Xenopus tropicalis: one gene and its partner. The protein of the gene in region 2 purifies or fractionates together with the protein of the main gene of each other region. This does not show direct contact. Links are inferred from orthologs where the notes say so. Each region holds a gene or a part of one and is shown on either strand. Other genes may lie near its edges. The genes, in order: fgd1 and sh3pxd2a.

Region 1 (3,493 bases), on a different chromosome or scaffold from region 2:
GCTTTGTGCCAGCTCTTGGCACCTTTCTCCATGTAATGCATGTAACTACACATAACACTGTGTTCTGCCACCACCGAGGCCTGTTTCTGGGGATCACACATTGAATGCATTTAGTCTGATGTACACCTGACACAGTATAGGAATCTTGCGCTATTCAGTCTAGGTATGGCCGTGCCTGTCTTAAAAGCAGCTATTTATCAGCACGCAGTACCCCACATTTAAAATAGACACTTGACTGACACCCTTTAAGTGCCAGTGATAAACACTAACTGCTGTGCAAGCTGGCGCCATGTACAGACTGGGCAGTGAAAAGATGCCTGACATACCTCTAGTATGGATTTCCTGCGCTGTGGCGTGTGAGCGTTGTATACTGGGCTGGCCAAAGACCCACGTAGAGCACCATAACAGTCCACACAGACTCGATTTGTGCGGTTATTATCGTAAACAAGCCTGGCACGAAACTCAGAGCACTTTCCGCATACCACCTGGAGTAAGGAAATAAGTACTGAGATTAAAAATAGGCCCTAACATTTCAAGTACACAGAGGCCCAAACAGCTCCCCCAGGCCCTCTGACAGATTGCCTGTCTGGGCCTGAAATAGTGATTGGTGACAGTAAAAGAAGATGCAATAAAACTGGGCACTCACATGGCCGCAAGCCTTGCAGTGGTGTCTCCTTTTGGTAATGGAGTTAAATGGTTCCTGGCATTTCATGCACATGGTCACTTCCTTTTCTCGGATGGGGGTTGGTGCTCGTTTTCCCAGGTCTGTGTTCTGTGTGACAGACGTTTCATTAGGAACTGTTGCTGTGTTACCTCAATAACTTAATAAGTGCTGTTGCAGGTAGAATAAGACAATCTAATTCCCAAAACCCTCCTGACCCCTTCCTGCTCCCCTTCTATACCCAAACCCAAACCCACTCCCTTTATTCTTCTTATTCTACCTGCAAGAACACGATACTAACTATCCTGACAGCATTTGCCAGCCAAGTGTTTATATTCTTGCACTCCTGGATCTGACTCATGAAACAATATCGCAAGCCAGTTGATTAACAGACCAAGAGGAAACTTGACTCCTGTAACATTGTTTTCAGAGTCAGACCCAGATATGTTCTTTCGCTGTGGCCAGAGGATGGCCTCTAAATGTACCGGAGAGTTTGGTGGCGTCTCCTCATCCTCACGAATGGACGTGCAGAGCAGTTTGCATGACTCCATTGCCTGTTCATGCCGATTTATTGTAGCCTCAATAGCCTGTAAAGGCAAAGCAAGACAAAAGGCAGCTATGATTGTGTTGTTTAAACCATGACAAATGAAAGTAGAATATAAACAAAAAATAATATGACTATTCTTGGATAGATGCTGTATTAATGTTGTATATGCTGCACTGTACCAGCCCAGAGGGCCAGCAATCATGATCCAGACCTTTAGGGTTTTAGCATTTCAAGCCTATTTATTTGTTGCGCTTAAGTTCTTCTTTAATATAGACTTTTCCCCATCTTGTCCTAGCTAAATGAGTAAGGAACATTCCCCAAGTTTAAATTCCAGGAATGAACTTAAATGAAATAAATCTCATGAGAAAGCAGTAAGCGATGTGCTCATACTTTGTGTTTTCAGAAGAGAAGTAATTAATATATATATATATATATATATATATATATATAATATGCAAGACTCATGAGTAAAAGTAATGTATACATATGTAAGATTCTTGTAATATATATATTGTGAGTTCTTATAATTTATTAATCAATAATGAAACCTTTGACTCTAGTAGAGGAAACAGTCAATTAGTAATTAGCTTAGCACCTGGTTGTCTGATCCAAACAACAGGAGTTTCCTAATTTGGAAAACAAAGGTACTGGTCTGGGAAAGGTGCTGTCCCACCTAAACTCTAATTAACATTAACAAAGGGTCAAGGACACTGGAGCCAGCTGAATGGATCCCTGGTGATATGCTTAATCAGTTAAGGTCCCCATACACTATAAGATCTGCTCGCTTGGCGATGTCGCCAAGCGAGCGGATCTTTACCCGATATCCCCACCTACGGGTGGGCGATATCGGGTAGCAAGTTGCTTTAAAAAAAAAATAATTACAGTTGCGGCCATGGGGCAGTCGGTTCGGGGACCGCATCAACGAGCCGATGCGGTCCCCGATCCGACTGGATTTTCTAACCTGGCCGATCGATATCTGGCCAATTTCAGGCCAGATATTGGTCGGCCAGGCCGCTCGTTTCTGCCCATACACGGGCCGATTAGCTGCCGAATCGGTCCAAGGGACCCATATCGGCAGCTTCTATCGGCCCGTGTATGGGCAGAAACGAGCGGGAAGGACAGTCTTGCTGGAGACGCAGACATGAAGACTGAAATACCCATAATGGCGGACGGATGACTTCCTGTAACTGACTGGTATGTGCTAGCACAGGTAGACACAGGGCCAGGAGAGGAGTGACCACCGTACCAAATCAGAGGGAATCCTGACATCACAGACCAGGCACCTTATCAAACCAAAGGAGAGGTATCCTTAGGCTGTGTAATCCTCTAGGGTTAAGGTTTCATAGAGTGTGTTTATATGGTGTGGTGTGGGATATTATTATTATATAGGTGGTTGGGCCTCTGGGTTTCATTTTAGTGTGTTTAGTTAAGTTTTGTATATTTGTAGTGTATTGTAGTATATTTGTTTTGTATGACCTTTCTGTGTATATGGTAGTCTCTTGTTTTATCTACTTTATGGTTTATGTAAATATTTGTTTACAAACAATATTAAGTAGATTAAGTGTATAGTAGGCGTTAAAAACAAAAAAGGCGTTTGAAACTTAAAAGGCACTATACAAGGGATTGCACTCGGGAGACTGTAAGTACCCAGTGGCAATATGAGTTGCAGTATGATTGCTGGTGTTACTCAGTGTGCATCTTGCCGCATGTATGTGGTCCTGGAGCAGCAGTTCCATGCAGCATTTACTTGTGAGAGATGCAGGTGGGTTTTCCTCTTGGAATCTGAGGTGCAGAATCTAAGAGGGGAACTGGCAGCACTGAGGGCAGCTGCAAACATGGGGGAGAACAGGAGGCTCACTGAGCAACCACTGGCAGGGGCCGGTGTAGTGGGGGGTGGAGAAGGGACAGTGGAGGTTAATGAGGGAGACAAATTTGTAACAGTTAAGAGGGGAAGTAGGGGACACAAGGGTAGGGGGGCTGGTTCACAGCTTGTACAATCCAACAGATTTGCCGCTTTAGGTGAAGATGCTGGGGAAGACAGCTCTGAGCTAGCATGTATGGAGCGGGCTGACTCTCAGAGCACCCTGGGAGCCGGCACCTCTAATACAGGTGGGGGGAGTAGTGCTAGGAAGGGAAGGCAGGCTATAGTTGTAGGGGATTCAATTATTAGAAAGGTGGATAGGGTAATTTGTCGCAAAGACCCTACATGCCGAACTGTGTGTTGCTTGCCTGGTGCTAGGGTTCGGCATGTGGTGGAACGAGTGGACAAATTGTTGGGAGGGGCT
Region 2 (4,333 bases):
CAACATATTAATAAAGGGTTAGTGCATGCTGGGCAGGGGTGCTGTGTCTATGTATGTATGTATGTATAACTTTATTTATAAAGTTCAATCAACATAAACAAAAATCTGTTAAGGTATTTAGTGAGTAAATTGTTCACTTGTGTGTATTGCACCCCAGAAAGCTTGTGCTGTTTGTACATTTCTGCAAATAAATGATTTAAAGGCATTGCCGACACACTGGAGTGCTTCTTCCCCTTTGCAAAGATTTATTTATAAAGTGCCACAAGGGTACACAGCGCTGTACAATCTTACAAGTGTTGTAATAAATACAATAAATATATATAAATGCACAGGGAATAAGTGCCATGAGGTATGAGACACAGTAGGAAGGAGGTCCCTGCCCCGTAGAGTGGTTGGGTAACATACAGGCACAAATTGGAAGGTAAGAGTGCACTAGGTATGGGCATTTGCTCTTAAGCACAGGACTAGGCAAAATAATGTTTTTGTGCTCTAGAAGGTAGCATCTTAAAGAGAGTGAGTGTTCCCTGCGGAGGGATTCAGGGATAGAGTTCCAGAGGTAAGGAAGTGAGTCCATGAAGTGAGTTGAGCAACACACCTTAGGTGGCAGTGCCCAGCTAGTTAGTTTTTTTAAATCAGAATTATGGCTCTTCTAGTGCAGAGAACACTATTGCTTTCTGCACTAGAGATTTGCCCCTGACTCCAATGAGAAAAGCAAAGCGCAAAGGGACAGCATTTATTTGCCTGCCTCAGAGTAGCAAGGAGCCCTGAGGTGGCACTGATGTGGGTGTTATAGTTCAATACCATCTGGGCACCCATGGGACAGAATGCATTCCCCCATACCAATGTCATACCCCCACATGCCAATGCATCCCTAAGGACCTTCTTTAAAAAATCTTAATTTTCAGAATTCTTACATTTCTTAGTCACCCCAGAGAGCAAGAGCCATACATGTAGGGACTGGGGGCACCTGGTCTATAAGGCCTGGATTGGATTAAGAGAAGGACAAAGAGACATTTGCCCTGGTAAGGTTCCCAACCTGAGAGGGGCCCCTATGGCCTATGTTTTTCAAAGAAATGTATAAATGACACAACATTATAGTTATATCTCACATATACAAGTTACATATAACCTGGGTACTGCCTTTAGCTAGTTTCCCTCACATTTGGGCTCCAGCCTCCCCGAGAAACAAGCTAAAGGCAGGACCCAGGGTCTGTACTATTATTAGCCCCCATACAGACAGCCACTGAGGCATTTATCATTTCAATTTGGTGGCCAGTCCCCGCCCCTCCCCCGGATCCATGAATCCAATGAATATATAGGAGTCTCTGTGTCCTGAGCAGGCCCCGCCTCCATGTAAGGACCGTGTCACCCGCGGAGCGGGGAATCACAGAGCTGTGTAACCCAGGCTGCAGCTGCAGCAGGGAGGGCAAGGGGAGTAGCACTCAGGCAGGGTGAGAGGAGGAGTATCCCAATGTGAAGGCAGAAAGCCCAGGGGAAACACAAGAACAGCAGAGGGCAGCCTACTGCCCAGAGAAACAAGCCACAAGCACATGGCAGCGGAGCTCAGCCCTAGAGCCTTTTCATTGGAGTGAGCGGCCCCCTCCCTGCTCTTATACACAGCGCTTGCACGGAACTGCCGGGGGGACCGGGACAGTAATGCCCCAGTGAGTGGCTTCAGCCCGCTGCCTGCCTGCCTGGCCGTGCCTCCGAGGGGAAAGATGCTGTCCTTCTGGGTGCTGGATGTGAGCGTACAGGGTGTGCAGAAAAGGAGGAACCCATCCAAGCACTATGTGAGTAGTAATACCCCCCCCAGCACTATGTATTGTACTGTATAGTGGTACAACCCATGCATTATTGGGGCAGTTATACCCCCCAGGCACAATGTATTCTGCTGTATCCCATAGGGATAGTGGTACAACCCATGCATTATTGGGGCAGTTATACCCACCCAGGCACAATGTATTCTGCTGTATCCCATAGGGATAGTGGTACAACCCATGCATTATTGGGGCAGTTATACCCACCCAGGCACAATATATTCTGCTGTATCCCATAGGGATAGTGGTACAACCCATGCATTATTGGGGCAGTTATACCCACCCAGGCACAATGTATTCTGCTGTATCCCATAGGGATAGTGGTACAACCCATGCATTATTGGGGCAGTTATACCCACCCAGGCACAATGTATTCTGCTGTATCCCATAGGGATAGTGGTACAACCCATGCATTATTGGGGCAGTTATACCCACCCAGGCACAATGTATTCTGCTGTATCCCATAGGGATAGTGGTACAACCCATGCATTATTGGGGCAGTTATGCCCACCCAGGCACAATGTATTCTGCTGTATCCCATAGGGATAGTGGTACAACCCATGCATTATTGGGGCAGTTATACCCACCCAGGCACAAGGTATTCTGCTGTATCCCATAGGGATAGCGGTACAACCTATGCATTATTAGGGCAGTTATGCCCACCCAGGCACAATGTATTCTGCTGTATCCCATAGGGATGATGGTACAACCCATGCATTATTGGGGCAGTTATACCCACCCAGGCACAATGTATTTTGCTGTATCCCATAGGGATAGCGGTACAACCCATGCATTATTGGGGCAGTTATACCCACCCAGGCACAATGTATTCTGCTGTATCCCATAGGGATAGCGGTAGAACCCATGCATTATTGGGGCAGTTATACCCCCCCAGGCACAATGTATTCTGCTGTATCCCATAGGGATAGCGGTACAACCCATGCATTATTGGGGCAGTTATACCCCCCCAGGCACAATGTATTCTGCTGTATCCCATAGGGATAGCGGTACAACCCATGCATTATTGGGGCAGTTATACCCACCCAGGCACAATGTATTCTGCTGTATCCCATAGGGATAGTGGTACAACCCATGCATTATTGGGGCAGTTATGCCCACCCAGGCACAATATATTCTGCTGTATCCCATAGGGATAGTGGTACAACCCATGCATTATTAGGGCAGTTATGCCCACCCAGGCACAATGTATTCTGCTGTATCCCATAGGGATGATGTTACAACCCATGCATTATTGGGGCAGTTATACCCACCCAGGCACAATGTATTCTGCTGTATCCCATAGGGATAGCGGTACAACCCATGCATTATTGGGGCAGTTATACCCACCCAGGCACAATGTATTCTGCTGTATCCCATAGGGATAGCGGTACAACCCATGCATTATTGGGGCAGTTATACCCACCCAGGCACAATGTATTCTGCTGTATCCCATAGGGATAGTGGTACAACCCATGCATTATTAGGGCAGTTATGCCCACCCAGGCACAATGTATTCTGCTGTATCCCATAGGGATGATGGTACAACCCATTCATTATTGGGGCAGTTATGCCCACCCAGGCACAATATATTCTGCTGTATCCCATAGGGATAGTGGTACAACCCATGCATTATTAGGGCAGTTATGCCCACCCAGGCACAATGTTTTCTGCTGTATCCCATAGGGATGATGGTACAACCCATGCATTATTGGGGCAGTTATACCCACCCAGGCACAATGTATTCTGCTGTATCCCATAGGGATAGTGGTACAACCCATGCATTATTGGGGCAGTTATACCCACCCAGGCACAATGTATTCTGCTGTATCCCATAGGGATAGTGGTACAACCCATGCATTATTGGGGCAGTTATGCCCATCCAGGCACAATATATTCTGCTGTATCCCATAGGGATAGTGGTACAACCCATGCATTATTAGGGCAGTTATGCCCACCCAGGCACAATGTATTCTGCTGTATCCCATAGGGATGATGGTACAACCCATTCATTATTGGGGCAGTTATGCCCACCCAGGCACAATATATTCTGCTGTATCCCATAGGGATAGTGGTACAACCCATGCATTATTAGGGCAGTTATGCCCACCCAGGCACAATATATTCTGCTGTATCCCATAGGGATAGTGGTACAACTCATTCATTATTGGGGCAGTTATACCCACCCAGGCACAATGTATTCTGCTGTATCCCATAGGGATAGTGGTACAACCCTGCCATGCATTATTGGGGCAGTTATACCCACCTAGGCACAATGTATACTTTATGTATTATGGTACAACCCTGCCATGCATTAAGGGGCAATTATACCCACCCAGGCACAATGTATTCTGTATACACATGTATTGTGGTACAACCCTGCCATGTATTATAGGTCCCATAGGGTGAAGGGTGGTTTAATTCCAGTGATACTGTATGTGATTGTTGGGGTGTCTGTCACTTCTGTGTATTAGAGTAGCACTGTTAATTGTCTGGTCTTTGCATGGAGTGAATGGGAA

Evidence for each region.
Region 1: the proteins of sh3pxd2a (region 2) and fgd1 purify together in Homo sapiens (affinity purification with mass spectrometry; 3 studies listed by BioGRID and IntAct, with this or other methods). This does not show direct contact. The link is inferred for Xenopus tropicalis from reciprocal best matches to the Homo sapiens genes SH3PXD2A and FGD1.

The regions. Positions count from the first base shown.
Region 1 is NC_030684.2:25,386,878-25,390,370, forward strand, and holds part of fgd1 (FYVE, RhoGEF and PH domain-containing protein 1), read right to left. Parts: intron 1,249-3,493; coding exon 1,147-1,248; intron 773-1,146; coding exon 647-772; intron 486-646; coding exon 327-485; intron 87-326; coding exon 1-86. UniProt on the Homo sapiens protein: Activates CDC42, a member of the Ras-like family of Rho- and Rac proteins, by exchanging bound GDP for free GTP. Plays a role in regulating the actin cytoskeleton and cell shape.
Region 2 is NC_030683.2:28,139,176-28,143,508, forward strand, and holds the start of sh3pxd2a (SH3 and PX domain-containing protein 2A), read left to right. Parts: upstream 1-1,345; 5' UTR 1,346-1,718; coding exon 1,719-1,790; intron 1,791-4,333. UniProt on the Homo sapiens protein: Adapter protein involved in invadopodia and podosome formation, extracellular matrix degradation and invasiveness of some cancer cells. Binds matrix metalloproteinases (ADAMs), NADPH oxidases (NOXs) and phosphoinositides.